7 linked regions of the Xenopus tropicalis genome follow. The protein of the gene in region 4 interacts with the protein of the main gene of each other region in a pairwise test. Links are inferred from orthologs where the notes say so. Each region holds a gene or a part of one and is shown on either strand. Other genes may lie near its edges.

Region 1 (4,087 bases), on a different chromosome or scaffold from region 4:
TAGCTCAAAATTCTTTGGAACATGTTGCCAGCATGAAACTAAAAAGGAAAATATATTTTTTAGAAAATAATAGCATTTCTCAATTTCAACATTTGATATGTTGTCTTTGTACTATTTATAATTAAATATAGCTTAAATGTTATGCAGATTATCCCATTCTCTGTAATGTATATTTTACACAGCATCCCAACTTTTTATTTTTGAAAGGGGGGGTTATAAATAACTAAAATAAAATCTAAATTACCATCTAACAACACAAAATGAGCAAAGGAAATCTCCTACTAATAACGAGTGTGTTTCCTTGCTTTTTTTACAGTAAGTACACTGGAGTAATTGCTGACACAATGAATCCATTGATACGATCTTTATGCCCTACATTCAACAGAGCACCAGGAAAACACTACGCTAACATATTCTTCTTATTTCTACAGCTACCATTCCCATGATTTCCATCTCCTGCCTTGAAAAAACAGGAAATTACATTTTTTTCTGTTTTATGCCTTGACCCCATGGCTGTGATATGTTTGAAAATGCAATCTTTAACAAGCACTTCTCTCAGTGAGCCTCAGTAATTCCTTTGCACCCCTCGGTATAATGGATGCAATAAGAAAGCAGCCTAGACTTATACATTAACACATATTTCTCCAGGGGCAATAGCACACTGCCATATTTGAATGTAGTAAGCTATTTTCTTTTTATTTTACAATAGAGGAAAAACTGAAGGTTTTATTTGGGCTATTGGGAATGCACTAAGCTTGCACTGCTGTTCAGACTTCTTTGCAATGCAACTAATACCAAGAGATTTTTTATCGCCATAAAAAGAATTTCTGTTCCATTGCATTTTTGAATTATGATGAATTTTTTCTTCAGGTCCTATGTAGGCATTAGAAGAATTTGTTATAGGAGCTGGGAGAAAACTGCTCTATTGCACAGTGCAGAAGGTGTTTGCACCAAGATAGAACACTACAACAAAAAGTCCTTTAAACTGCCTCCAGCATTTCACAGCAAATCGATGGGAATGGACACCTTCTCATTTTTGAAAACTAGAGATTACACTTCAATTTAGGCAAGTGATAAACTCCCCGCATGAATTAGCATTAAGCACTTATTATTTGCATTCAAACTAAATGGGGGTAGAATTAAAAAGCTTTGAGACAAAAAATCCTAAATGTACTAGATAGATTGTAAGTACAACTTGGCCTTGCAGGCAACCAAACTCAGCTTCCCTCCCACACCACATCAATTAAATGAAAAATACAAGCAATGCACAGCAAATGAATAGTGGGGAAACCCACAGCTTGTGTAATCGTTCATGCTGTAAATTTTGAGGAAAAACTCATTTATGCTCCAATTTGCCCATTGTTTTATTGCTCTGAATTTTTGTTACAGACCAAAAGGTAAGGCCAAAATATACCATAGCACCCTCCATGAGAATTGGAAGAAAGTTCTTGTTGAAGTGCAATATTTACCTACAAAACATGGAAAAAAAATAAATAAATAAATAAATTTATATATATTATATATATATATATATATATATATATATTGGTGAGCAATTCAGCATGATGAAAGACAGAATGTTCACATAGCTAAACAAAGTCATTACGTTTTGAGTTCAGCACTTTTAGAATTGAAGTACCCATGCTTTATGTTAAAAGTAAAGTATACACAATTGTTATTGCTTCAGAAACATGGAACAAACTATTAAAGGCAAGTCAGTACAACAATGCTAAAATAGCATTTCCTTTTTCTCTGTAATAATAAAACAGTAGCTTGTACCTGATCCTATTGTATAATTTATCCTTATTGGAGACAAACCAATCATATTGGGTCTATGTTAAATTTTTTTTTAATCAGTCTTAAAGAATGGTGACCCAAATTATAATAAGACCACTTATCTGGAAAACCCCAGATCCCCAGCATTCTGCATAACAGGTCCCATACCTGTACTACAAATAAAAGCCATAAACACAATTTTTGCAAACTGAAATATTGCTCACCCATACATACAACCCTGGGTCACAGCACTCTCCTTGTACAGTCAAATCCCATTAGTTATTTAGAGAGGATGGAGAGCTCTTGCACTTGGAAGGCTGGGACATAAAAAGTGGGAATACCTTAGAAGCCTGAGGCAGTAAATGAACTGTGAATATTAAGGTCAATCTTTAGATAATGGGCTTTTTATGTCAGAAAAATCCCAATCTTTTAACTTGACAGAAGAATACATTTTGTCATTTTTAAGTCAAGGGCCAAGCATGTTTTACTGCTTAGTAAGGGGATTTTGATTTAATTCTATCTTGGGTTTTGATAATCTGCTCATTGATGACTAGCCAAAGGGAAAAAAAAACCTTTGGAGTATTTTCAGGATTCATGATGTTGTACACCTAGCCTGCTGGGCTATTCGGGTTACAGAAAACATGAAGAAGTGGTTCATCCAAGGCAAACCTTTGCAGGGAACCTTCTAAGCCAAGTGGCCCTGACAGAAACCATATGATTTAAAAATCCCAGTTTAGATTTTATTGTCAGTTAAGTGATAAGTGAGGCCTGTTTTCTTCTTCATGCCTATTGTGATTTGAATAAAGTATTTATTTGAGATTTATTTAGAGATTTCACCTCCCTCCTCACTACCTTTGGGCCAAGACCAAGTTAATTACCTTATGGTCATCGATTACCCAAAAATATTGGGGTAATGAAGCTGCCAGCTGACAAAACCTGAACTCAAGATGCATGCATTCTGATCACTAAATGATAAACTGTAGAAACTATTCATGATTCTCTGAATACAGAGAAGAAAAAAAACATAGTACCATTCCCCATTAATCAATGGATGCTCTTAATGTATACCATTAATAAAGAAAAAAGGGCTTTTCTGGCGTAAAAGGCAGTAAAACAAAACAGAGAAAAGAAGGATTAAGTTGATAGTTGGAGTGTGACGCATTGCTGCCATCCAGTGGGTAAATAAAAATATCCACAACTTACAGAAGTTACACAAGTCAAACTGCAATTTTACATTCCTGCAGCCAAGTGATGAGTGAATCTGTCCATTTTTGCTTTGCCGAAAAAATTAGTTAAATGGCAGTCAATGGGAGACTTTTTTTTTACTGTGTAACTTTTTTTTTTTGCAGCCATTGATGTCTATGGATGTTTTTTTGCAGCAAAACCTGGCAAAAAATCGCTCATTACTAAGTCATTTGAGCAGATGTTCTCCATGTATTTTGCACCTTGTTTATCTGCGGTTTGTGAGATTTTCAGTCAAACTAAGCTGTTTAAAATACTAACCAGATGCATATCTTCCCTTCATCCTTCTGTAAAAAGGGAATCTCAATTATTCCTCCTATGGCCATCCACAAATTGCAGTAGATTGTGTATCTCAGTCTTGCAAAAGCTGTTCCATAATGTACACATAAATGATTTCACCACTTACATCTTATTAGCACAGCAAATCATGAATTTCAAAGACAGACTGACCCCTGTGCTTATTACAGTAGGCACAAATAAAAAACACAATAAAATTTGTTATTGCCTATAATAGTCAAAAGCTAGAATATCAAAGTGGGTTTAGGATACAGATCCAGCATCACTGACTATCTGTAGCACAATGGTTATTGAGGTTCTAGGATGCAAGGATCCAATGATGACAGATTCACATGTTTCACGAATTAGCTGCTCCTGGTTTTTCTCCTGGATAGCTTTGGGGAATAAAAAAAAAAAAAGAATGATATTCCAGGTAGATAAAAAGTGAAAAGAAATGTCTAAGTACAGAAAACCAGAAACATGTCACATGGGCAACTTTTTTGTGGTTAGACTGCAATGATGCAAAGTATTTGTCTGTTAGCTGTTAGATGTAATTCTTGCCTTCAGAAAAACAGAACATGTCTCTGATGGAAGCACCTACCAGGCAACCCAGTCTTGGGCCTGAGGATCACCTCTAATGTGGCTTTATTATGGATTTCTCTGCTGACCTTGATCTCTGCAGGGCCATATACTCCAGCCATTACAGATGTGTCGCCTACAGGAAAGCAACATGGAAATCAGTTGAACAGTTAGCCTTAAGGTGGCCATACACCTTACAATTACAATCTTTCCT
Region 2 (4,877 bases), on a different chromosome or scaffold from region 4:
CAAGGGCCTCCTTTTCTTTCTGAAGACTCTTGTATGCTCGCACAACATCCTTCAGTCGACCCTGGTACTGTTGTAGTTGCTTCCGTTGAGTTTCTACCTGCTCCTGAAGTTCCTTCTTACTTGGGCCACCTCCAAAACTCATGCCTAATTTCTCCATGGTAACAGATCAGCTTAGCATTCTGATTTTTATATAAAAGTAGAAGAAAAGAGGGAGTCTGAAATGAGTTCCTTGCATATTAAAAAAGACGTGAAAAAGACAGACGTAGATAAAAAAAAAAAAAAAATATGAAGACAGCAAACAGAATCAGTATTAAAAAATATCTGGCAAATAAGCATAATAAGATTAAAGGGGACCTGTCACCCTAAGAAATAATTTTAAATTATTTTCTATTGTGTTTGTTCAGCAAAATAAACTTCACTTACACTATATAAGTAATATAAATCTTGTTTCCTTCAGTCCTGGAATTACACAATCACATCAAATAGGCAGCTGCAATTTTGTGGACACAGTTATTAAGGCAAGCTTTGTATCACCCCAAAATCGTGTGTATGTGCCAGAATGGGGGACCAGATGCCCAGGCCCATGCATTGGCTACACAATTAGATGGTGAGGAGGGAGGGGGAAAGTGTGAGCTGAATTGAAAGTTAAAGTACTTGTCTGCCCCGCCTCTATGCCTTAATATATGATTGACAGCTGGGATTTTTAAATGCCTTTATAATGGGTTTGAATGTGTTAATATAAAGATGATTTTGGTTTTTTCTTTAATTTGAAAAGGACTTTTATTATACAGCTTTTTATGTCTGGGTGACAGGTCCACTTTAAAGGTGTATAAAGGAAGTACAATCAATATGCAGAGCAGTGGAAGTGTCTTAAAGATTTGGAGCAATAGAACCAAAAACTGTTTTCAATTGCTTTTACAAATAACTTTAAAACATAGAAAATGTTTAATTACTGTATTTTACAAAGTTTCTTTCTTTTTGCAGGTCAGATATGGCTTTAATATTAGCCAATAGGAGGTGATGGAAGACCAGATTTTGCAGGCTGATTTGTATAAACTTGAAATATGGGCTTAGAAAAGTAAGCAAGCTTAAGGTGGCCATACACGCACCGATAATATCGTGCGAAACCTCGTTTCGTACGATATTCGGTGCGTGTATGGTATGTCGGCGAGTCGACCGATATCGCAGGAAGCTGCTGATATCGGCCGACACGCCGATCGGTCCAGTTGGAAAATTTTGATCGGGCGCCATAGAAGGCGCCTGATCAAAATCTCCCTTCAGCGCTGAATCGGCAGAAGGAGGTAGAAATCCTATTGTTTCTACCTCCTTACCTGCCGATTCAGCCCTGAATGGTGTGTGGCACATCTGACGATGTTTCGTGCGACCGATGGTCGCACGAAACATCGTCAGATCGCCACGTGTATCGCCAGCTTTAGGCTGTAAGGCCAAAGTCAGTCAAATTTCTTGACTATGTATCTCAGTGTTTGGCCCTCACAGTACTTGTATGTGTATAGTGGCATTCACAGCGACTAACAACTTCAAGGAGAAGGAAACCTACTGATACTGTATACTCTCAATAGATTAGCCACAATAGTGCAAGCTAGAAAGCTATATTTATTCTGTAGAATGCGTTACCATACCTCAGTGAACAGCCCTAAAAGCTATCTCTGTTTGTTTTGGATAATAGCTGCTATATTAGCTTTGTGTGATATAAATTCCAATTCCTCCTGCACTAAGTCTCTGGCTGGGTCATAGCTCTGGGCTCAGTTTATAGCAAGAAGGGGAGAAAGAAGCGAGCTGCACAGGCAGGCTTCCCGGGGTATGGTGTTTTAGCTAGAGAGGAAGTATGATAAAGAAGCCCATGTGTGAACAACAGAAGCAAAGCAATGACATGTTTCTTTTCACAGGGGCTCAGAGCAGCATTACTGTGAGTGTTTATTGGTGTTTATACTTAGACATTTCTGATAAAGCTTAAATAGTTTTAACCTTTCCTTCTCCTTTTATTTGGATGTGATAGGTATTGTGTGAGTTGTGACACTGTTGGAAATACAGTGGCTTGCAAAAGTATTCGGCCCCCTTGAACTTTTCCACATTTTGTCACATTACAGCCACAAACATGAATCAATTTCATTGGAATTCCACGTGAAATACCAATACAAAGTGGTGTACACGTGAGAAGTGGAACGAAAATCATACATGATTCCAAACATTTTTTACAAATAAATAACTGCAAAGTGGGGTGTGCATAATTATTCAGCCCCCTGAGTCAATACTTTGTAGAACCACCTTTTGCTGCAATTACAGCTGCCAGTCTTTTAGGGTATGTCTCTACCAGCTTTGCACATCTAGAAGCTACCACTAAATACTGCTTGCTGGCCTTGGTGTTAAAAAAAATTATATATACATGTGTGTGAAATAGGAGCAAATAGTTGCATGCATATGCTAGTTCTTAGGTGGTCTAAAGTCCTGGAGATCAGGTGGATGATCACATGACCACACTAGGAAATAGCATCCTGAAGTGACATGTGCATGTACAATAAGCCTAACTCCTTACTGTGCATGTATGCTGCCATTTTGTTTGTCAGCTAAGTTTACAGATATAATGTTAATATTAACACTGCTGCCAAATTCTGCCTTTAAACTGCACGGTTTTAAAATCCATCCTACGTGGCTGTCAAGCCAGCAGTACAGATAAAGGCTTCATTTGTTTTAATGCAAGTAGATTACTAGTAATTACTGATCAGACATCCAGTTGGGGCAAAGCCTTGTATCACTCGAACACTACGTTGTAGTTTAGAACAGCTGGTAGTATGGTTCAACTTGGAAATCCTTGATGAAAATAGAATGCGGGTGACATTATACTGGAACTGCTATTTAAGGCCACCTCCGATATTTGCCAGCATATTGGAAGTCATGGATAAGCAGCAATCAAGTAAAGCTTGCACTAATACTGCCTAAAGAGACGTCTTCTCTTCAACACAGCAGCATGGCTATTAAAGACAATTGGCAACTAACTAATTTAAAAAAAAAAAAACAAAAGCTTCCCTGGCACCTTCACATTAAAATCACACATTTCCATTAAGCGAAAACCCGCAGCCTCACTTACCTACAACATCAACCATCTTTCTCAATCCTGCAGACGTGGAGCAAAGCGCGCGTTGGCTACTTCAGCTGCCAATCAAATCTTTAGACTCGCCTCTCAATCTGATTGGAATAAGGCGCGGCTTATAGTGGTAAAAACTTTTTTAATTGGTCGACACTGGCTAACATTGACAACAGGCACTCGACTACCTCTACATGAGAGGCGGAAGCTGCTTTCATTGGTCAGTGGTTACCATGGCGGAAGAAATAGATATAAAAGTATATATATATATTGAAGAAAAAAAAAATGCGCACGCGCAGTAACATAAAAACCGTTCCGGTTCTCAAGTACAAGATGTTAGCAGTTTGCATGATACTGCATAGCTGGTGTTGGATCCACGCTGTGTTTGAAACTACAAGAATGAATAAATCAGACCGGGGGATGGCGTTGGGTGAGGGAGAGAGCGGGGAATTGTATCTTATTTCAAAGGATCAGCCACAGTGGAGCTCCTACAGGAGGCCGAAAAGCAGGGAGGATGAGGGAGGTTGTCTCTTCATATCCCAGCAGTTAAGAGTGAGTTAGGAGGCAAGCAGAGTATGCGTTTAATCTTACAGGGGGTGAGAAGATTAAAGCTAGCTGTACACGCACTTATCAGGCCCGGGTGTGTGGCTAGGCCACAAAGACCCTGGCCTAGGGCAGCAAAAATTTAGGGGTGGCATGCCGTCCCGCTGCACCGGAAATTTGCTCCCATACGGAGCAATGGGAGACTTCTTTCCACTGTGAATGGGGCGGCCTCAGGGCGCGATTCGGTGCGTGTTTTGCGGCTTGATGAGGCCACCGATATTGTAAGAGGCTGCGGATATCGGTTGACTCGTTGATCAGCCACGTTAAAAGATTTTGATGCCGTCCGGGCAAAATTTATGTTAAGGGCTGAATCGGCAGAAGGAGGTAGAATTTCTGTTATTTCTACCCTCCATGGAGGGTGGGAACGATCTTTCGAAAGATCAAAATTGTTACGTGTATGGCCACCGTAACTAGCACCAAAAATTTAGAGTGTTTCAAAGTAGTTCATGTATTATGTAATATTGCCCTGCATTGGTAAAATTTATGTGTTTGCATTAGATACACTACTGTAGTTTTTATAAACAAAGTTGCTGTGCAAACTAAAAAAAAGGAGAAAAGGCATAGGTTACACAGCAGATAACAGATGAGGTGCATAGATTCCCATTGTATTCTACAGAGCTTATCTGTTATCTACTTATATAACCTGTGCCTTTTTTCCAGCTTGAATGGAAAATTGGAAGGTAGGAGTGCACAAGCGCGAGACTAGACAAAATAATGTTTTAGTGCTCCAGAAGGTAGCATCTGAGTTTTTTTCTTAAAGAGAGTGGGTGAGTGTTCACTATGGAGGAATTCAGGGATAGAGTTTCAGAGGTAAGGAACAGGATATAAAAGGTTTAAGGCGAGAGAGAGCAGTGGGTGTGGAAAAAGGTGGAGGCTCTATAAGAAGCGGAGGAGACAATCAGGAATGTGCAGAGAGACCAGTGAAGAAATGTAGTGAGGAGCAGAGAAGTGAAGGGCTTTGAAGGTTAGCAGAAGGATTTTGTATGCTATCCTTTGCTTAATGCTAGTGCGATTGTGGGGCTGAACAGATTGCCTCTTTGGAGAGAGCAGGAGGATCCTGGCAGCAGAGTTTAAGTTTGATTGCAGGAGAGAGAGGTGGGAGTCTGGGAGGCCGGTTCGTAGGAGATTGCAGTAATCTAAGCGGGAAAGGGTAAGGGCATGGATTAGTGTT
Region 3 (4,830 bases), on a different chromosome or scaffold from region 4:
TTGTTACAGATAGGATTAATGTTTAGCCCAAAGGGGAACCAGCACCGTATATTATTCATAATTGCCTACAATATTAGGGTTTTTCCCATTTATCCAATATGTCTCCTTTAAGAGGGGCCTGGATGAGTTCTTGAACAAGCATAGTGTCCAAGGCTATTGTGATACTAAAATCTACAGTTAGTATAGAGGTGGGTATATATGGTTTATGTATGTAAGTTTATGCATAGGCCAGTATAGGTTTACATGTGTGCTGTTGGAAGGGATGATTTATTCAACTCAGCTTAATTATGAAACAGCACTGCACAGCTGGTCGGGTTTTTTTATTCCATGTCCTAGGTTACAGAGAACTAGTGGTAGTGTTAAGCACACAATTTTCTAATTATTACAGTTGTAGTGGGTCAAATTACACTGCTGCAGAAAGTCCCCAGAAGTTCTATGGGTGTCATCTGGCACAAATAATGTATTATTTGATAATGTGTGCATCATACATACATTCAAGGTGATAAATGTGCAGCAATAGGCGCACACTGTGCTTTATAAGTTTATAAATGGTGCTTTATAAATACTTGTCAATAATAATACTAACTACTAAATATTGAGGCTGTGACATTAAATGTTTTTATGTCGATTGTACCTAGCCAAGTATAATTTCCCTGCAGCTTCTATAAAGTGTCACCTCTTGGTGTTCTGTTCCTAAGAGTCATACATATTACAAAAAAACGACAGCAGAGGGCAGCATCAAGGTATCTGCTTCCAATTTTTTTTGCAAAGTATTTCAGTAACTCATCCTTAAAGGAACAGTAACATCGAAAAATGAAAGTGTTTTTAAGTAATTATAATACAATGCACTGTTGCCCTGCGCTGGTAAAATTTGCATGTTTGCTACAGAAAGACTACTATAGTTTATATAAATGGCTGCTGTGTAGCCATTGGGGCAGCCATTCAATGTTTCTAAAGAAAATACACCAGTTGTACTGGTGCAGGGCAACAGTACATTAAGAATACAAAAAAGAGAGGGGGATTGATCAATGCACATTCCCTGGTCCCGTTTCATAAGTAAATTATCTATGCTAGTGCAAGTATTTGCAAAAAACAGAGGTTTTATTTACAAAATTATGATCATAAGATTGGTAAGCCACCATACCATGTTAAGGTAAACCCCGTATGGTGCTCCTATCTATTTACCTCTGGTCATATTTTTAATATATTTAATAGATTCAACCACGGGTGACTAATCTCCTTGTGGACCATGGCCCTTATTGCTGAGAACACCATATTGATGAACGTAAAGTGCTGGGAAAGGTAGCGCAGATTTCCCATTTCTGACAAACCTCCATGTGTGCCATCACACATATGTTGGACAGGACCCAAATAAACAGAGCTTGTACTAAATATAGGGTCTGCCTGTTCTTTTTATTCTCAGATTAATCCATGTTTTTAGGTCTAATCTTTATTTTGTTTTTACCCCTATTTTTGTTTATACCCCTTTCTCAAGCAACCTTCGTTAGTATTGATAAAGATCTATATACAATGAACCCCACACCCCCACACACACATTTTCCCTTAATCTTGTCTTTATCTCATGGTTATATTAGTAGTATATTATTATACAGGGGCTGAGTAAAGGGACAATATAGCTTTTTTCCCCCACAGATAATTTTGTTACTACTTAGAGTTGTGTATATTCTTAGTTCACCCTTGACATATAATCCTTTATTTATGAATTTCTGACACATTTTCTCAGTACGGGCCAATTAACCTGCCTGTATGTTTTTGTAACTGTGTCCAGGCTGGATTTGAACTCAGGGCCCCTGACTAAAATTGATTAACAATTTCTGCAGATGAAAGGCTCTGATGAAATCCTTGTAAATGGTATTGCTGCAAAACTTCCAGCCCTCTCAGAATTCTAATCACTTCCTGCTAGATTAGCAACAATAGGTTTGGCTTAATACCAAACACCAATTTCAACATTAATAAAATTCAAAAAAAATTTGCTCTGAAAAGTGACATGAGTTTGGATTCAGTTTGGTGCTATGAATTAAACCATAATGAAAACATTATGTTAAAGATAAATATATAACCAATTAAGAAATGTTAACCGGTATAGGATATATTATACGGAAATACATCATCCAGAAATCTCCGAATTACAAGTGATTTCCTTTTTTTTCTGTAATAAAAAAAAAAATACCTTGTACTTGATTCTAACTAAGCTGCATGAATCCATATTGGTACCAAAACAATCCTGTGTGTGTTTCACTCTTTGCTGCCAGTGTTTACACTTGCTACTTTCCCTATGACAGAATTGCCCCAAGCGTGGCGTTTACACTGACAACATTACACAAAATAGCCATGCAGAAATTGACTTGGAAGTCAGTCTGATAGCTGTATACCTGTTAATTTCCTCCAGCATAAAAGGGGGAACAGTTTTATTTGAATAAGTTTATTCATGTAAATAGATTTCAGATACAAAAAAATATATTGTAATATATACTTTATAAATGGTGCTTAGTAATGTAATCAGTTAAAATTGATTAGTCTTCCTGTTACATGACTACATTATAAAAATTAGTCTATCCCCAGTTGTAAAATATGAGTCACCTCGATGTCCTGTGTCCTGGTCAAAAGCACTTGGCCTTTGAACTTGTGCTTTTATATGGCTATGGAACTCCACAGTGTCTAATATTGTTAAAATGTATTAAATAAATCCAACAGGTTTACTGTGCTTCTCTTTAAAGGTCAAAGCATTAAGGCTGTCTGGACAATCAGCCTAGCTTTATGCATGAAAAAGATAAAGGTATGCATGACTGAAAAGGGTTAACAAATACGAGCATTACCAAGTGACGCAGCCTTAGCTACAGGATTTCATCTCACCTTGATTAATGTTCAGGCTTGAATATCTTGATTAAAATCAAAGAAATAGGGTCCCAGATGGTGCAAGCAGCAATAGGTATCAGCTAGAATCATCTATAAGCTTACACCGCGAGAGGAAGCAAGCATATGACAGATGCACACCCACCTCCTGTAAATGAACCGAGCCAATGTAATGGGCGTTGCGTATGTAGAACAGTAGTGCTTGTTGTTTCCTTAACCAATCACAGCTACACTTTTCATGGAAGCTTTGAATGCTGGGAGGTGGATGCAGTTACATTGCTATTGACAGATACACACTCCCCTTTTTCAGCAAATGAACTAAGCCAGCTCGATGGGCGTTGCATGGAGCACAGCAAGACTTAAAGAGAACCTATCAGCTTTCAGTTAACAATAGGAATGTGTTTAGAGTGCACAAGCCGACTTTCTCAAAAGTCAGAATGCAAAGCCCCATGGGAAAAAAATATAGCTGAACTCTCCTGAGATTACCTCTCAACCGTTTGAATGTGCAGGAGAAGAACGGAGAACGAAGAACAGAGAACATGGAAGAGAGGTTTTTTTTTTATTGTTAGTAGGGAAGGACTCCAAGTTTACTGTACTTCAGCCAGCACTGTGCAATCTCTACACCCTCCTCTTTACAAGCAGAGGAGTTTCAGTGATACTGCGTGAGGCACCGCTCCCCCCTGCAGCCCCCTCCCTGTGCCTGTGACCGGAGGATTTTCGCTGAGTCCGGGTAATGCTCTGCAGCCCTCCTTGCTTTGCCTGTGACCGGAGCTGGAGGAGTCCCCTGTGCAGCTGTGACCGGAGCCAGAGGAGTCCCCCCCCACCTGTGAACGGAGAAGTTTCAATAAAACTGTGTAAGGCTCTGTTCCCCAGCTGCATCCCCCACCGGGTGCCTTCCTAATGCGTAATGTAGAAGGCACCGGGTGGGGATGCAGCTGCGGAACAGAGCCTTACGCAGTTTAATTGAAACTGCTCCATTCACAGGTGGGGGGCAGCTGCAGGGGGAACTCCTCCGGTTAGAGGCAGCCGGGCGGCTGCAGAGGGAACTCCTCCGGCTCCGGTCACAGGCAAAGCAAGGAGGGCTGCAGAGAGGAAACAGAGCATTACCCGGGCTTAGCAAAAATCCTCCGGTCACAGGCACAGGGAGGGGGCTGCAGGGGGAGAGGTGCCTTACACAGTATCACTGAAAGTCAGCTCGTGCACAGTTTTAAAACTACTGCTTCTGGTCATTTTTTTTTTTATTAAAGTTATAGTTATGTCATTACACTTAACACTCTAAACACATTCCTATTGCTAACTGAAAACTGACAGGTTCTCTTTAAGCTCAACCAATAGCAGCAATGCTTTTCTTGGAACCTTTGCATACTGGGGGGTGGGAGGTGGATGCAGATACAATGATATTGAAGCTGTGCCAAGATCATGGGCGTGGTTTGACAGGCTCTTTCCTCATCCAATAGTGGCTTTGGTATTCACATGCCCCTTAGGCTACTAGGAGTCCTGATTGGTTACAAGACATTGACAAAGGCTGATATGTAGTGATGTAAAACGTTAGCTAACTCCGAATTGGCTGTTCTATGTTCTATGTTTCCTTCATTTGGAGGGAGAAGGGTTTAGGTGACTGTGGTTTACGTGTCTGATTATTTGGAATAAGTGAAAAATCTGAATATTTTGTCACAATATAATCAGTATGGATGATATTCCATATACTAATATACTAAAAAATAAAAACGGATGAGACCAAAACTCATGAGATTTCAGCAATTTTTTCCGATGAGGCTTTGCACTCCAACTTTTTAGAAAGCCGGCAGCTCCTACACAGTTTTAAAACTACTGCTTCTGGTCATTTTTTAACAAAATAAATTATGGTATGTCATTACACATAACACTTTAAACACATTCCTATTGTTAACTGAAAACTGACAGGTTTTCCTTAAAGGTCAAAGCCTTTTGTATTGA
Region 4 (4,087 bases):
TTTAAAACCAACTCAACAAAATAAATGTGGTTGCAAATTAAAAAGTCCCACACAACTTCATTTTAGCCTGACATCTATGCAGTAAATCATATCTAACATGATAATCTTATTATCAAAGGCTCCTTTTTGAATAGCAACATATCATACATAGGCTTGTCTATACTCCCATCAACTTTAGCCATTACAAACTCTATTGTAAGAACACTAATGATACCTTTGTACACTTGTAATATGTTATAATCTCATAATAATGGATAATCCAACCAGTTGGTCTAGCAATGGACACATATGTGTAGAGGCAATAGTAAACAACAGGATGAAGACACAACTACAAAATTGCCCAGTGTGACTGCATGAAGGATGTATGACTAGTTCTAATAATTTTGTACAGGTGGTCTTCATGCAACCTCCACTGCAAAATGTCTGTGATAAGTGGCAAAATATACTGCCAACCCTCAAATAAAGGGGGCCACTTGGAAGGCCTCTCAGACAACATTAACCCTTTCTGGACACAGTGCTACACAACTTCATCAGGCCAAAACTCTGCTAATTGCCTTAGCTACCCAGAAGTTGATGTCTTTCAAACAGATATGTATCCACTTCTTTTTTAATAAACTTACTGAATAGTTGTCTGAAGAGATTTGGATCGTGTTTCTGGAGACAGTTTTTCAATGTCTGAACTGCTGTTTTTCCTTTAGTTATTATAGTTTCAATCATTTCTTGTGCCTGCAAAATAGGCTGTGTTTTCAGCTTTATGGCTTCGTATTCAGCAGCGGTGATATCGTTGGAAGAGAGCAGATAATCCAGGATTGGAATGCTTCGGCTAGCTATGTGCTGTGACAAAGCCATTCTGCTCTTTCGTATTACAGAGATATCGTCTGCAAAAGCAAAGGAACAATGATAATTTAAACACCTTTTAGAAATGTAATGTACATGGCACCATAGTGTCCCCCCTAATGCTACCTGTCACTGATATGAATGGCAACTGCATGTCACCCAAGGAGTATTTTAAACACTAAAGGGCTCAAATGTGTGTTTTGGGGCTGAAATCTAAATGTACCCACTTACCCAATGAGTTTTCTTCTGCCTGTCTGTTTCGCTCTTCCTCGGTCTGTTCTTCTTGTGCAATAAGGAGATCACTTATTAAATCATCAAGCTGACTATAATTTTCCCCAGATGTCAAAATTTTACTTTGAACGGTTCGTTTTACTAATCTTCTATTGAATCCGATCTCCAAGGCAGTCTGAACCATGGGAGTGCTCATCATGATTTCATCTTCCTGGCTATTCTCCGTTCCCAATCGAATAACTGTAATATAAATGTAAAAATAGTTTAGATTCACCACTAAATAAAAAAAAAAAAAAAAAAACTTGCAACTCTGCAAATTGTATTGTTTTCCCTCAAAATAACCCGACAGAGATTGTCACACTAAGCGGAATTTGGTGCAAAACTGCATATGCGAGCAGTATCTATGGTTTCTGTTATTTCTGGCACTAAAGAATATGAAGCCAGTTTCACTTCAGCAATTCCTAGTCCTAAAGACCTGATAAAACTAATTACCAGCTCAGAAGCCCCTGATAATGAGCTGTTCAAAGGCTGCTTCTCAGAGGAGAGAGATAGGGAGCCCTGAAAAAATATTTCCCTGTTTCTAATGAAAGGAGGAAGGTAATATCAGTGAAAATAGCCCAACTTTCAAGTTTTTATATTAAACAAAAGAATGTAATTTCTATTCTCCTATTTCTCGTGGTAATTCTTGACTTAGCATTAAAGTTTGTTGTTATCAAGCACTACTGTGGTTAGAATAAAAGTAAGGGCTCTGGCACACGGGGAAGATTAGTCGCCTGCAACAAATCTCCCTTGTCACGGGCGACTAATCTCCCCGAACTACCATCCCACCGGCGAACATGTAAGTCGCTGGTGGGGTGGTACACGCTGCGCAGGCGATTTCGGCAAATCACAGAAGTTGCCTTTGCGAGGCATTTTCGGCGATTTGCCGAAATTGCGCCGCCGCGTGTGCCATCCCACCAGCGACTTACATGTTCGCCGGTGGGATGGCAACTGATGGCTCTCTGATGGCAACTCGGGGAGATTAGTTGCCAGCGAACAGGGAGATTTGTCGCGGGCGACTAATCTCCCCGTGTGCCAGAGCCCTAAGCAACAGGGAGTTTGCTTTCATATTGGCCAATTTATACAGTTTCTAACATTATCTGAATTACAGCACAGCATAAACAACTCCTGAAAACAGATAAATATCAAACTAATGCACTTACTGGGTATGTTCTTTGCTTCATTTTGGTTTTCTGAAGATGACAGCAACTAACGAAGACAAAAAAAACCATCAAGTGTCATTAAACCTCGTGTTTTTCTGTGCAAAATGCATCTAACGTTACCAGATTTGTGATAAATACTACAGCTTTTTAAAGAACCCCATAAGAATATCTTTACCTGATCAAGAAGATGTGGATATCTTTCTTGAACCTCTCGAACATAATCTTGACCTCTTATATGCAACAAATACTCACACCTAAGGAGGTAAAAAATTATATGTTTTAATAGAACGCGACTATAGGTTATAACCAAAATGCTATTTAAAAGACGAACATGTTGGTAAAAGGCAGAATTGACTATCTGTATGCTGCAGGCATTTATTAGTGACTAATGGCTGTGACACATGATTTAGAGGTGTTGGCAAGAGTGCTGGCAAGTTATAACAAGGGTTTCTGCTTCCCAATTACTTACTAACCATTCACTCGGTGAATTGTCAGGATGGATACCAAAAAGGTGTTTGGGCATTTTAGAATATGTTTGTTTGCTATGAGATATGGTGGCCCTTAACATGTCTGAGAACAAATAAGAGTTTAAGCCTAAGCAGGTTGAAAACCCCTGCACCAACTGAATGAAGCGAGCTTACACAACTAGCCTTCCTGACCGTGCCAAATTCCATTTGATATACAGTTTCAGTGTTCAAGTATCAATGTAAATGAGAATATTACAGACACAAACCTAGGAAACCATTTTGCATGTTCAACCCATGGGTCATCTCCAGACTCCCAGCAACGAAGGCCTCCGTCACAGCAAAAGCACTTAACATCGTCATTTCTCCCTTTAAACAGGGGTAAAAAAATAATTAATATATTTCAGTCCTTTGGATAAATGTAATTTGTGGTCTACCGACCACTCACAGGTTAACTGCTTTGGTTGGGAAGCAATACATGGTTAACTACCTAAGGCTCATTGTACACAGGGTGACAGCCTAAGCACCCAGGTATGGCTGTTCAGCATGTACAAAATTAGTAAAACTTATGCTCAAAATGTATTGGCCAACGAACCCTAAGGCAACTAGTTTGGGAAGGATGTCCGTTATAGGATTCCAATAAGGCAAATACCTACCAACGTAGTAGAATCCAGCCTCTGCGAGCCGTGTTGGGCTTATGGGAATTCTGGGCGGCCAACTGGCAAAAGTTTTGAGTCGAGCCGAGGAGGCCTGCATGCTGACATTTGAAACGCTGAACCTTGAGGAAACCCTTGTAGAGGACTTCACAAAGGGGCAATTGGGAAAATGTCGTCTGTGCTCTGACATGGCATTGTCATTTGGCTCCCAGTTGTTCAATTTCCCATCACAGGTAAAGCAGGCGACTTTGTCTCCGGGCCCAACAAAATAAAAGCCAGCTTTTGCGAGTTCAGCAGGAGTAAGGAACATATTGCTCCACTCTTGGAAACTGTTAAGCCTGGCTTCTTCTGTATACATGTATTCACTGATCCTGACGTGCGACAGATCCTCAATGCCCCTTAGCGTGACTGGATCTTGGGGAATGCTACTATATTTCAAAGTGATTGCCTCAACTTTGTCATTTTCAGCAGAAGCAGCAGGCATGGATGTACTGTTGGAGGCAGGTGGTGAGAAGGCAGAGTACAGAGATGCGCCAAGATTCACTGAAGGGACATTCTGAATAAAACTACAGCTGGGATACAACTTTTTGTGCTTTTCAAATGCATTGTCACCTTTCTTCCAATTATCAAGCATCAAGCCGCAGGTAAAGCACTTGACCTTGTCATCTTGCCCGGTGTAATAAAAACCAGCTTTTGC
Region 5 (3,973 bases), on a different chromosome or scaffold from region 4:
TAGGTTACAGAAAGGCACATTTTAAGCAACTTTTCAGTTAGTCTTCATTGTTTATATTTTTTGATTTGCTGCCTTCTAACTTTTTGAGCTTTCAAATAAGGGTCACTGACCCAAAGAACTATTGCTCTGTGAAGCTACAGTGTTATTGTTACTTTCTAAATACTTATTACTTAATTTTTCAATTATGGGCCCTCCCCTATTCATGTATCAGTCTTTCATTCAAACCACTCCCTGGTTGCTAAGGCAATTTGGATCCAAGCAACCAAATAGGTGCTGGAACTCCAAGCTAACAAAAAAATGAAATTATAAAACTACAAATAATAAAATAATGAGAATATTTCTCTCTACGTCATACTAAAGGGTCACTTAGAGGTGGGCAACCCCTATCTATTTATCTACGTTCGTTAACTTGCCCGTATGTTACTGGGGGGCCAAGGACAATGCTCCAGAATACGGGGTACACCTCAGCCCCCTCGGAACACGCTGAATATAGCCAATAATATACCCATGACTTACTTGGCCAGACCGGGCCGCCCCATTGGTGCCGGTGTTCCTCTGAGACCTCCGTTTGCCCAACTCCGGGGACTCGTTCTGGGGCTCCAGACTCAGAAACTCGGAGCTGGCATCGAGCAGAGAGTCTTGCTCCCGGTAAGAAGGCCCAGCGCCGTTAGCCGTCCCCGTAGAGCTCCGAAGCAGCACCATGACCGCTCCCGCCGCTGATTACAACCCTCACAAACGGATCAGTCGGACGGGACAGCGATTCCAAATTCTGGCGCCACAAAACTTCCACAGCCTGACGCTCTCCCAGATCATATCCCTCCGCCGACTGTCTAAACTATGGTTTTCCTATTTCCAACACCAAGCGCCTTCCGTCAGCGCAGCTAATACTCTCTGCCCGTGTAAACCGTACGTACACGTGTATCGGCCGCGGTGCGAGCAAGTCGCTCGAGGAACTACTACATTCGGTTACACGTATACCGCGGAGGGACACGTTTGTTTTGGCGCGTCCGCAGTTTGTTTTTAGCGCGGGAACTAAAGGGCGAGTTTTGATTGGCTGAAACGTGAACACGTGTTTTACCCTTCGGCCGATGTTTTCGGCGAACGCAGGGACTTTACAGCGGCGACAACTGCAATATTTATAGTGACGTTGAATAATAAGGATTCGTTGTGTGTGGAAAAAGTGTTTGACTTGTGATTAGACAGTCGGGACCGGTGACGGCTTAAAGCCAGCTTAGGAGGGAGAATATAGTGGGTAGCAGTTTCCGGGGGAATGTTTAGGCTGTAGCACCCGGTGGCTTCCTTGTTATTGTGACAGCTGAATGGAAGGCGGCTGTGGTGCAGGGGGAGAGCTATGGAGCAGGCAGCCCAGGTCCCGTCCCTATTGCCGGGGCGCAGTGACTGTCACTATACCGGCTGCTACTGGTAAGCTTGGGGGGAAGGGCACAACTGGCCCTATAGGTTTATGGGTCCCCTCAAAACCAGCAGCTATGAGATTTTCTGCCTGCAGCCCTCCTACTCCTGTCTAAAGGCAATTCCATAATCCCCCCTATTATTATTATTAACATTTATTTATAAAGCGCCAACATATCCCGCAGCGCTGTACAATACCTCTGTAACACTTGTTTGGCTATAATATGGCCAACCCAGGCTAGTAGCGTGCTGTAGAGCTAAGTGGGAGGTATTAATGGAGCTGAGGGTGTTGTTGAACTACAACTAGCTGAGGTAGTGTGGTGCAATAGATAGAAATGGACGCCAGAGGATTCTTATGAATGAACTGGATAATACTTTATTTGTCCAAGACAACGGTATTCAGGGTATTCAATACTCAATAGATGCAGAACAGTATGCAGTTATACAGTTGATGTAAAATTGATAAATAGCAGAAATATGATGCTCCCCTGTGTATCCCTTCTCATCAAGAGGTTTGGGCAGGTAGAACAACAACAGCGTGATAGGTAGGAAAGCTCACCGGCATAGTCCCATGCTCTGGTGGAGGTTAGGGCAAGGCATATTTGCTAACCTATTCCCCTAGCACTTCTGTGTCCCTAATCTAAGGCCAGTAATGCCTGTTAGGAAGACTACTCCTTTGCTATTATCCTGGATGGAGCAAATGGCTGCTCGTTCTATATAGTTCTGTCTGAACTCACCACTCCTAGAGGGTGCTATGAAATATGCTGCTATACTGTCTTCTCCTCATTCACGGGGCCCTGTCCCCGACTTCAGATGATATAAGTGGCTTTTACTGGGGCCGTCTGCACCCAGGCTCAATGGACTGATGCCTGAGACAGGGGCAGCCAAAGAGGAAGACACTCCCTTGTGCAAGACACTATATAGTCTGCCAAGGGGAGTGGTCAACCGGACTAAACCTGTAGGGGATAGCTTAAAGGAACAGTAACACCAAAAAATGAAAGTGTATAAAAGTAACTAAAATATAATGTGCTGCTGCAACCGTAGCTATAGGCCGACTGCAGGGCTCGGAGTTGCCACAAACTGAGAGAGAAACACCTGTGTCTGTCGCCATATGGAAACCTAAATAAAATAAGATAAAATGAGATCTTGGAAATATTAACACTTAGGGCCAGATTCATTAAAGTATGACTCACGAAATCCAATAATTTCTGATCATTGCGAAAGTCACAAAATCTCCTTTCGTTTGAATACGAAAATTTCGTACTTACAATCCGAAATTTTTGTTTTGAAACGATCGTTTGTGATAGTCATGAAATTTTCGTATTCAAACGATCGTAAACGGTGGGAAAACCTTTCTGACTTTGATCCTTCAGTGCATGATTTTGGAAGCATCGCATAGGGCTCAATGGCACTCTGCAGCTCCAACCCGGCCCAAGGAAAGTCTCCCATAGGGCTCAATGGCACTCTGCAGCTCCAACCTGGCCCAAGGAAAGTCTCCCATAGGGCTCAATGGCACTCTGCAGCTCCAACCCGGCCCAAGGAAAGTCTCCCATAGGGCTCAATGGCACTCTGCAGCTCCAACCCGGCCCAAGGAAAGTCTCCCATAGGGCTCAATGGCACTCTGCAGCTCCAACTTGGCTCAAGGAAAGCCTCCCATAGGGCTCAATGGCACTCTGCAGCTCCAACCGGCCCAAGGAAAGTCTCCCATAGGGCTCAATGGCACTCTGCAGCTCCAACCCGGCCCAAGGAAAGTCTCCCATAGGGCTCAATGGCACTCTGCAGCTCCAACCCGGCCCAAGGAAAGTCTCCCATAGGGCTCAATGGCACTCTGCAGCTCCAACCCTGCCCAAGGAAAGCCTCCCATAGGGCTCAATGGCACTCTGCAGCTCCAACCCGGCCCAAGGAAAGTCTCCCATAGGGCTCAATGGCACTCTGCAGCTCCAACCTGGCCCAAGGAAAGTCTCCCATAGGGCTCAATGGCACTCTGCAGCTCCAACCCGGCCCAAGGAAAGTCTCCCATAGGGCTCAATGGCACTCTGCAGCTCCAACCCGGCCCAAGGAAAGTCTCCCATAGGGCTCAATGGCACTCTGCAGCTCCAACCCGGCCCAAGGAAAGTCTCCCATAGGGCTCAATGGCACTCTGCAGCTCCAACCCGGCCCAAGGAAAGTCTCCCATAGGGCTCAATGGCACTCTGCAGCTCCAACCCGGCCCAAGGAAAGTCTCCCATAAGGCTCAATGGCACTCTGCAGCTCCAACCCGGCCCAAGGAAAGTCTCCCATAGGGCTCAATGGCACTCTGCAGCTCCAACCCGGCCCAAGGAAAGTCTCCCATAGGGCTCAATGGCACTCTGCAGCTCCAACCCGGCCCAAGGAAAGCCTCCCATAGGGCTCAATGGCACTCTGCAGCTCCAACCCGGCCCAAGGAAAGCCTCCCATAGGGCTCAATGGCACTCTGCAGCTCCAACCCGGCCCAAGGAAAGCCTCCCATAGGGCTCAATGGCACTCTGCAGCTCCAACCCGGCCCAAGGAAAGTCTCCCATAGGGCTCAATGGCACTCTGCAGC
Region 6 (4,087 bases), about 49 Mb from region 4:
GGACCAGTGTCATCTTCTAACAGGGCCCAATGTTTGCATATTTTGAGATTTGTTATCAAACACTATTTTGGACTGATCTAGTTACACCTGGCTGCCCAGTTGAATAACTATGCTGTGCAGCTCATGGTTTGCAAATAAACCAAAACATATACTTAATTGCACCATTTGTTGGTCTGGTATTCCTAACTGACTTTAATGTTATCACTCGATAATAACCCTACACTTCCATCACAAGAAATGACCAGCTTGTGATTACAATATTGAAACATGTGTAACCAGCATTGCCAATCATCCAGTGCTGCTGTGAATATTATATAAAATGTGGGCAGTATAGCATATCTGCAATTCATTAACAGATGACCCTATTAAATGTACCTCATAAAATAGGTTTCATCAGATATCCAAGAATTATCATGATTTAAGTTTGTGAACACTAGAAGTGCACCCAGATGGCCTTTATTTATAAAGTTTAAATGCCAGTCAAATTTTCCTTGATCCGCAAAATTTAAAAACTGAACTGAGTTCAGCACCACCAATCATTCTACATCTTCATATATTATCTTACTAATCTTAACCTACTATAGAATGAAATGTAACCATACATATTTAATCAAGAAACCATTCAGCTGATTTCACTGAGAATTTTTTTAGTGCAGTATAAACATTCCTTCCTTTTTTAGTGCAGTATAAACATTTCCTTCTTCAGCAAAATAAAGGACCCTGAATTATAAAAGTTCTAATGGTGTCTTATTGTTCCAGGCATTACTTTTTTATAGTCATACACAGTAGTTACCCGATCGTAAAGCATGTTGGCTTTGTCCCGGTCTGATGTCAGTACTTTTACATTCGCTTGAATTTCTGCCATGTGACGCTCATATTTCTCTAGCATTGTTTGCAACTCATCTCGTTCCCGAAGGGTCTTCTTGAGTTCTGACTCTAACTGTAACAACTGGAATACATACAACAGAGGGTAAACTAGGAGCACAAAAGACAGGACTGAAATAAATACTAGTACAGGTATAGTATCCATTATCCTGAAACCCATTATCCAAAAAGCTCAGAATTATGGAAAGGCCATCTGCCATAGACTCCATTTTAGTTAAATAATTACAATATTTAAAAATGATTTCCCTTTTCTTTGTAATAATAAAACAGCACCTTGTACTTGATCCCAACCAATATATAATTAATCCTTTTTGGTGCAAAATCAATCCTATTGGGTTTAATGAATGTTCAAATGATTTTTTAGTAGACTTAACAATAATAGGTCTCATACCTGTATTACAAAATATGTCATGTAATGTATAATTGCTATAAGCTAAAATAAGACTGCATTCCCCCACACCATCTTATTGACTAGGGTGCAATAAGGATTTTGGGGTGGGAAAATTCCACCTATCATATCATATGTGAGAGACCAACATTAAAGGGTTTTACAAAAACACAGATAATGTTGTGTGTTTATTTGTTTTAAAACGTCTAGTTAAGCGAACTGTCAATGTGGTTGCTATAAGTTACAGCAGTATGGCAACCTTTGCCTTCCTGCACAAATTACTTTTACTGACTCTGCAAAAAATAGGTGCGCGCATGAAGCAAGCACAATGTTTTCTAAAAAGTTTTACAGGAAACATATTGGATAAATGGAAAACCCCTAAATTTGTAGGCAATTATGAATAATATATGGTGCTGGTTTCACTTTGGGCTAAATATTAATCCTATCTGTACAAATGGCCCCATTATTTGAGCTCCCTATAGACCCTTCTCTGTCCGGGGTGGGCATTTCCTAACGGTCCCTGCCAGAAGCACAGCAGGAGGGGGATAACCAATCACAGCCTTGCACTCACACAAGCAAAGACAGTCTTCAGTAGCCTATTAGGTCAGCCTAGCTGCTGATTGGTTCCTATCCTACAGTGCACTGTACCGAGGGCCGCCGGCTCCCCTGCACATCCAGAGAATTCAGCCAGCAGGAAGTGGAACAGATGGGCGGGGCTAGTGGGGTTTTGGTGGAATTTCTCAATAAATCAGTCCGAAACACAACTTTATTAGCCACAATCCTTCTATATCTAGAGGAGTATGATTCACTGGTACATTCTTAATTTTTATATGATATGTCTCCTTTAATATTTTGGATGGTCTCCAAAGGAAGCAATCTAATTCTTGTTATTTACAAATTAATACATAACAATGTATGTGGATAAGGGTTTTTAACATTGTTGCCAACCTGGGTATTGGTATTAGCTCGCTTGGGACTAAGACTCTGACGTCGCAGGGTTTTCCTCAGATTTTCTGCTTCCCTTTTATAGTGATCTCGTTCCTCTTCCAATGATTTGATGAAGGAGTCAAGTCTAGAAGGAGCCATAGCATTACTCTTCTCACATGCTAAGACTGTGTTCTTTTCTGTTAACAAGGAAAAATATTGTCCTCCACTTAAAAGATTAAAAAACCTTTAGGGTCAGTATTACCCCTTGTACAGCATGAGTGCAAGGGTTTGATTCTCCTTTAATATCCAAAGAAAGTGAATTGCACTGTCAAAACTAAATAAAAGGAAAAAGAGAAATACAATCTTTACAGCACCAGTTGCACGCTTCCATTCACCAAATAGGCGCAAAAAGATTAGAATCTAATTTGAAAATTAAAACATGATTTTCATTGTAATAACAAAATGAAATGAGAGGGAAAACAACAAAAAACACTTGAAAATCAGCAGAATTAAGGAAGTTATCATTTCACAGAGTGATTATTACTAAGGAGCCATGATCATCCAATTTATGTTAGAACCAAAAAAGCTTAAACAAAAAGACTGTGGAAGTCACAGGGTTACATTAGGCAATATAGCTGACTTCAATTAAATAATTACCATAGCTTGGTGGGTCTACATTAATACAAAATTAACAAACTAAGTTACTAAATGTAACTTATAATTCTCTAGGTTAATGAGAGTATCATATGTCAGAGAAAGGAGATTGGTAACAACTACTGAACAAAGAGAAACAATTACTAATTGCACCAAACTCAGTCCTCAAGTCTACAACTATTACAGATCTGTATGCCAAGCAATCATTCCACCTCCTACTTACTCCATCTTACTGCTATAGCCATAAACCAGGGGTAGGCCACTTGAAAGAAATGCACAAATGCTACCCAACAGACCTTTGTCCCTGCCTATGATTTAGTCTGGCTTGAATGTAGTCTTGCAAGAAGAAAATTAATTCAAAAATTGCCTCTATTAGCTTAGATTCCCATTGTAATTAGAATTAGCCATGTCCACACTTGACCTGATGTGCGTTTTTTCTGGCCCCTGAGGAGGCATTTGCTCACATATAAATAATGATGTCATACACAGCAGACAATAAAGCTCATAGGTGAACAGGGTGCCTTAAAAATACCTTAGAGAGCCACAATCGGACTGCAGGCCTCAAGTTGGACAGCCCTGATTTATACCAACAGCAATAGTTAGACATTGCTGCCATTGGTCAACGGGCCACAGTAAAAAGCTGTTACTCTACTCTTCGAATATCATATTCTCTGCCTCCCTTCAATCTCTTTAATTAATCTTCTCATAGCTTGCCACCAGAAATATAATATATAACTCTAGTGTCATTTCATAGGAAGTTACCTGATCTCTCGTGCTTTTCAATCTTTTTGCGTAGTCTGTTTTGATCATCTTGAAGCTGGTCTACGAGAACATTTAGGGTCCTGTTCTCATCCTGTTTTTCTTTGAGTGCAACTTCTGCATGCTCAAGTTGTTCTTTAGTAAGGCTTGCATCCTGAATTGCAAAATACCATTTCAGAACATCATCATACATCAGCTATGAACTATGCAAAATGAAGGATATCAAAATAATTGCAGAAACACAAATTAAAAGCAAATTTTCTTCTCCTCCTGATGTAACAAACTGCAAGTTTTCGAAGCATACAAAACAACAAAAACTTTTTATACTAACATCATCCAGCTAGAAAAAAGACAGAAGGGAAAGAAAATTAAATTACTATTCTATTGCTCCAATACAGTACTGCAAACATAATTAGTGTGTGATTAAAGCAATTCTGAAAACACAGGTATGGGACCTGTTAACAAGAATGCTCG
Region 7 (4,087 bases), on a different chromosome or scaffold from region 4:
CATGCACTTTTGCAGCTATAGACAAAGCAGCATCTGGAACAGCTATTATACCTATGATAACCCATGGTAGGCCAACTGGAGTCTGAATGCTGCTATTTCCTCCCATCAACCCACTACTGGGGCAAGGCTGGACAGCAATTTGTATTTGCAGTGCTCTTACAGCCAACTACTGGCAAAATAATATTAATATAAAATGACACAGATTAATATAGAGCCATTATTTCAAAAACAGGAAATGCTGTTCTTCATTATAGAAACAAAGTCACCTCAACTTTATTGTTGTCAACTGCTGTGGAGTCTGCCTGCAACACATAACAGTAACCCAAAAAAAGTTACAGATTGTTGCACTTAAATCATTTTATGCTTAACAGTGCCATTTTCCACAAAATTATATTTACAGAATGTTTACAGTTCACAAATGCATCAGGACCAGCTCTTTGTAGTGTTTTCTTAAACTATTTTTCAGCATGTCTCAAGACAGTGCCATTGGTGACACCCTTTGTTATCATTTTCAGACAGTTTCACAGGATAAAAAGATATAAAACATAATGCCTCTTCTAGACGAAGAGGTTTTTAAACCTGAAGTGCTCATATTCCTAGTTTAAATTGACATTCCCTTTTCAGCTTTGGACGCTAAATCCAGTATGGCGTTTTCAACATTTATTGTAACATGAAAGGTTTTACATCAATATACTCATAAATAGTACAAATTTACATTCATGAGGAATGTTAAAAAAAAAAAAAATCCAAACTAAAAAACCCTCCCATCCACAAAAACAAAAAAAGTCCCTGGATCCAAGTGGACGTCTGAATGGAATTTACAGTTCATCTTTTACATCTGTGGATTCCTGCAGAAGGGAAAAAAAAAAAAAAAGCGTTAATAAATTTGAGCAAACTGCCTACTTAAAATTAAATCAAAATAAATGAACGTCTGGTTCTGTTTTCATTGGAAGGTTCCCCTCACTACACTGACCTTAAAATCATAATGGCACTTTACAGATTTAAAGTGTTGGTATACCACGGAAACCCTACCCAACACTATTTAGAACAGGTTTATAAAACAAAAAGATACCTCAGTGCTTCCTCCACCTCTATATAAGCAGTGATGTTGGGGGTTTAAAAACAGACTTATTTGGTCTATGAACTTAACTGCCCATCCCAAACCCTAGGCAAAGCAACAGGTGTGTACAGAAGTGATGGGGGTTGTTTCTGTTACAACATTTTTCTGGCTTCACCTTTCTGTGCGGAAACATCTATTATACCGTACATAGAGCTTTTAAAATTTGTATGAGTTTAAAAGGAGAACTACACCCCCCAGGTATAAAAGCCCCCTTAATTGGCCTGCATTGATCCCTCTTCCCTTCTCACATAACCTATAACTTTAAAAAGTGGCCCGATAGAAAAACCCAACCTAAAAGAGCAGTGCAGTGTACCCTGCTTGAGCATGTGTTAATGATTTCCGGCTAGCCCCAACTGCGCATGCTCAAGCAGTGTCTTTACTGGTGGTGAGACCCGAAGCAGTTTCTATTAAAGGGAAGATGGCACCCAGGTACCCTGCTCTGCTTTTTTAGGTTGGGTTTTTGTATAGGACTTTTTTTAAAGTTATAACATATAAAAAGATAGCAATGTGCAGTTTACCTGTGTGTCTGTTTCTTCGGTTTGTGTTTTTTCCTCAGCCTCTTCGGCATCAACCTCTTCCACATCTTCATCCTGTTCAGCATCATCTGCAGCAGGTTCTTCCTCTTCTGGTTCTTCTTCCACCTGTTTAGGAGGAAAAAAAATTAACAAATCAATAACATGTGAATTGTACTTGCTGGCGTATGATACCTGTACTCCATTTGCATCTGAACACCCTTTAGGCTGACAACTCCAAGGTTATCTAAAATCCTAAATCTGGCTCTATAGTTGGATGGGGTAAACTCCCATGGTGAAATAGCCAGTATGAGTCCATAAGAGTTCTGCAAACTTTACACCTGGCAACAAAACACAGTGACTGATAATTGCCAGTACTTTTTCTACTCTGAACCCAGTGATCATGGGAACTGTATACATTTGGCAGGCAGCTTCAGCTACAGTAGTTCAAACAGGGACTGCCCATTGAAGCACACTAAAGGGTTGTGTGTCACGGTTTATGCCAGAACTCAAAATATTTTAAATCTACATGCAGTAGGCAGATGATTTTCGGGGTACAGAAAATGTTTAAATATAACCGTTTTGTTGAATGGTGCTTAAAACTAAGATAGTAGTATTCATAATACTGCAGTTACCTGAGCATCAAGGTCAATCTTTAAGCTGAGGCGCAGCATTCTTTCAATCCTGTCTCCATATGATTTAGTATCAGGCAGATGATATCCTGAACGTAAGGTGGCAGTTTCAAAGAGTACAACTGCAAGGTCAGCTACAGTCTTATCGTCTTCATTTTCCTAAAACAATGGAGATATAGTAAGAAAATGATATACTTGCTCAGCTTTTAAAGCATATTGTGCAATGATACAATTACACATTGCCTCAAAACACAAGGATAACAAACTAAAAAAAAGCTCACCTTTACTCTTTGCAACATTTCCTTGATCAAAGGATGTCTTGGATTTATTTCAAATGTCTTCTTCTGGCCTGAATAATAACTAAAATGAAGTTTTATACAGTTAGCAATTTAATCATTTAACCAACTCAACCACCCATATATTTTCAAAAACTTGTGCCCAATGCCCACAGTTGTCAAATTGTTATTTTATGTACCACACCCACATGCCAAGCAGAATTTACAAATGTAATTTCATCTGTGCAGGCTGACTTTAGGCGGATATCCTTTACCTTTAGCTAAAAACTAGCTAGCTGCCAACAAAAAGAGCTGTGTATCTAACAGAAGGTCATTTCAATACATAATGGGACTTACTTTGTGGAAATATCTTTTCCTGTCTGATATGCTTGAGCTTTCATTATCCTTTCCATATTGCCAGACCAGCCATACTGACTGGCTACTAGTGCGCAAGGAGATTGTGTCAAACGCTGGGATACTACTGCTTTTTCAATCTTAAAAAAAAAAAAAAGATTGTTATGCAAGCATGGGAAATTTGTAGCATCTCTTTCCATAAAAAAAAAACCCCACATACCTGGTCTTTCAAAGCCTTTTCTTTCATCCATGTCAGCAGTGGTTCATATTCCTTCTCCAATGCTTCCCGTGCCTCCTTTGACTTTTCATTTTCATCAAACTTAAGGCCTTCCTTTGCAACATTTTGGAATCTCTTCCCATCAAATTCTGGCAGGGCCTGGATGCAATACTCATCAACTGGTTCAATTAAGAACAAAACTTCATAGCCTTTCTTAAGGAGGCGCTCAACAAATGGAGAGGACTCGACCTGGACAGCAGCACAAAAAATAAATAAATAAATTATATCACTTAATTACTACGTGTTTAATATTCTGGAATCAGTCACAAAAGAATACATTTGTAAACTGGTATGATACATATTTTGCATGGCAATACAGTTTGGAAACAGCAATTGAATGTACATCTATGACTATTTCTATGTGGGACACAGAAATAAGGGGAATCAAAGAATCTGCTCACTGGGAATCCCACATCTTGTAAGTGGGTATTAAGGTGTATCGATCATGCATTTAAACGCAACAATCTAAAACTAACATTCAGACGGAAATTGTAGGATAAAGTGACTTCCTGGAAATGCACTGTAGCTCCCCCAAGGATATCAGATATACACTACATGCACAGATTTTATAGTTAACCGTCCAAAATTTTCTAAACTTGCCAATTGACTAAATGACTGATCGCTATGGTACGAAAATGATCAGGGTGATAATTTGGAGCCTACACACTGTCCGAAAACCATACAAAAGGCAGTTTCTTACTATTTTATCGGTGTGTGCATGGCTAGCTTTAGTCTTTCACCCAAGATGAACACCCATCTTTCTGGCAAACTGAAACCCTTTTTTTGCCTTATGGCACATAATTCAGATTTGATTTTATTGCCTGCCTTCCACAAATGAAACAGGATGAAATGTCATGAGCATTGCCTCAGACATGCCACATCACATTGCCCAGCAACAAACATAAGCACTGCATATT

What was found.
Region 1: the proteins of birc2 (region 4) and exosc5 interact in binary tests that used the Homo sapiens proteins (3 or more experiments, as listed by UniProt). The two-hybrid records come from large-scale screens. The link is inferred for Xenopus tropicalis from reciprocal best matches to the Homo sapiens genes BIRC2 and EXOSC5.
Region 2: the proteins of birc2 (region 4) and gcc1 interact in binary tests that used the Homo sapiens proteins (3 or more experiments, as listed by UniProt). The two-hybrid records come from large-scale screens. The link is inferred for Xenopus tropicalis from reciprocal best matches to the Homo sapiens genes BIRC2 and GCC1.
Region 3: the proteins of birc2 (region 4) and ppm1k interact in binary tests that used the Homo sapiens proteins (3 or more experiments, as listed by UniProt). The two-hybrid records come from large-scale screens. The link is inferred for Xenopus tropicalis from reciprocal best matches to the Homo sapiens genes BIRC2 and PPM1K.
Region 5: the proteins of birc2 (region 4) and wdyhv1 interact in binary tests that used the Homo sapiens proteins (3 or more experiments, as listed by UniProt). The two-hybrid records come from large-scale screens. The link is inferred for Xenopus tropicalis from reciprocal best matches to the Homo sapiens genes BIRC2 and NTAQ1.
Region 6: the proteins of birc2 (region 4) and tsga10 interact in binary tests that used the Homo sapiens proteins (3 or more experiments, as listed by UniProt). The two-hybrid records come from large-scale screens. The link is inferred for Xenopus tropicalis from reciprocal best matches to the Homo sapiens genes BIRC2 and TSGA10.
Region 7: the proteins of birc2 (region 4) and hsp90b1 come close enough for resonance energy transfer, tested with the Homo sapiens proteins (2 studies listed by BioGRID). The link is inferred for Xenopus tropicalis from reciprocal best matches to the Homo sapiens genes BIRC2 and HSP90B1.

What each region holds. Positions count from the first base shown.
Region 1 is NC_030684.2:79,498,155-79,502,241, forward strand, and holds part of exosc5 (exosome complex component RRP46), read right to left. Parts: intron 4,010-4,087; coding exon 3,896-4,009; intron 3,690-3,895; coding exon 3,568-3,689; intron 1-3,567. UniProt on the Homo sapiens protein: Non-catalytic component of the RNA exosome complex which has 3'->5' exoribonuclease activity and participates in a multitude of cellular RNA processing and degradation events.
Region 2 is NC_030679.2:89,148,294-89,153,170, reverse strand, and holds the start of gcc1 (GRIP and coiled-coil domain-containing protein 1), read right to left. Parts: upstream 3,216-4,877; 5' UTR 3,107-3,215; intron 180-3,106; 5' UTR 158-179; coding exon 1-157. UniProt on the Homo sapiens protein: Probably involved in maintaining Golgi structure.
Region 3 is NC_030677.2:79,129,705-79,134,534, forward strand, and holds the start of ppm1k (protein phosphatase 1K, mitochondrial), read right to left. Parts: upstream 3,035-4,830; 5' UTR 2,875-3,034; intron 1-2,874. UniProt on the Homo sapiens protein: Serine/threonine-protein phosphatase component of macronutrients metabolism.
Region 4 is NC_030678.2:162,208,525-162,212,611, forward strand, and holds part of birc2 (baculoviral IAP repeat-containing protein 2), read right to left. Parts: coding exon 3,391-4,087; intron 3,104-3,390; coding exon 3,004-3,103; intron 2,525-3,003; coding exon 2,446-2,524; intron 2,317-2,445; coding exon 2,271-2,316; intron 1,309-2,270; coding exon 1,069-1,308; intron 879-1,068; coding exon 621-878; intron 1-620. UniProt on the Homo sapiens protein: Multi-functional protein which regulates not only caspases and apoptosis, but also modulates inflammatory signaling and immunity, mitogenic kinase signaling, and cell proliferation, as well as cell invasion and metastasis.
Region 5 is NC_030682.2:139,824,858-139,828,830, forward strand, and holds the start of wdyhv1 (protein N-terminal glutamine amidohydrolase), read left to right. Parts: upstream 1-1,173; 5' UTR 1,174-1,351; coding exon 1,352-1,422; intron 1,423-3,973. Other genes in the region: atad2 (ATPase family AAA domain-containing protein 2), read right to left, coding at 517-702. UniProt on the Homo sapiens protein: Mediates the side-chain deamidation of N-terminal glutamine residues to glutamate, an important step in N-end rule pathway of protein degradation.
Region 6 is NC_030678.2:112,847,681-112,851,767, reverse strand, and holds part of tsga10 (testis-specific gene 10 protein), read right to left. Parts: intron 3,768-4,087; coding exon 3,617-3,767; intron 2,398-3,616; coding exon 2,222-2,397; intron 950-2,221; coding exon 794-949; intron 1-793. UniProt on the Homo sapiens protein: Plays a role in spermatogenesis. When overexpressed, prevents nuclear localization of HIF1A.
Region 7 is NC_030679.2:49,296,808-49,300,894, forward strand, and holds the end of hsp90b1 (endoplasmin precursor), read right to left. Parts: intron 3,360-4,087; coding exon 3,114-3,359; intron 3,034-3,113; coding exon 2,897-3,033; intron 2,625-2,896; coding exon 2,546-2,624; intron 2,424-2,545; coding exon 2,268-2,423; intron 1,762-2,267; coding exon 1,639-1,761; intron 849-1,638; coding exon 819-848; 3' UTR 245-818; downstream 1-244.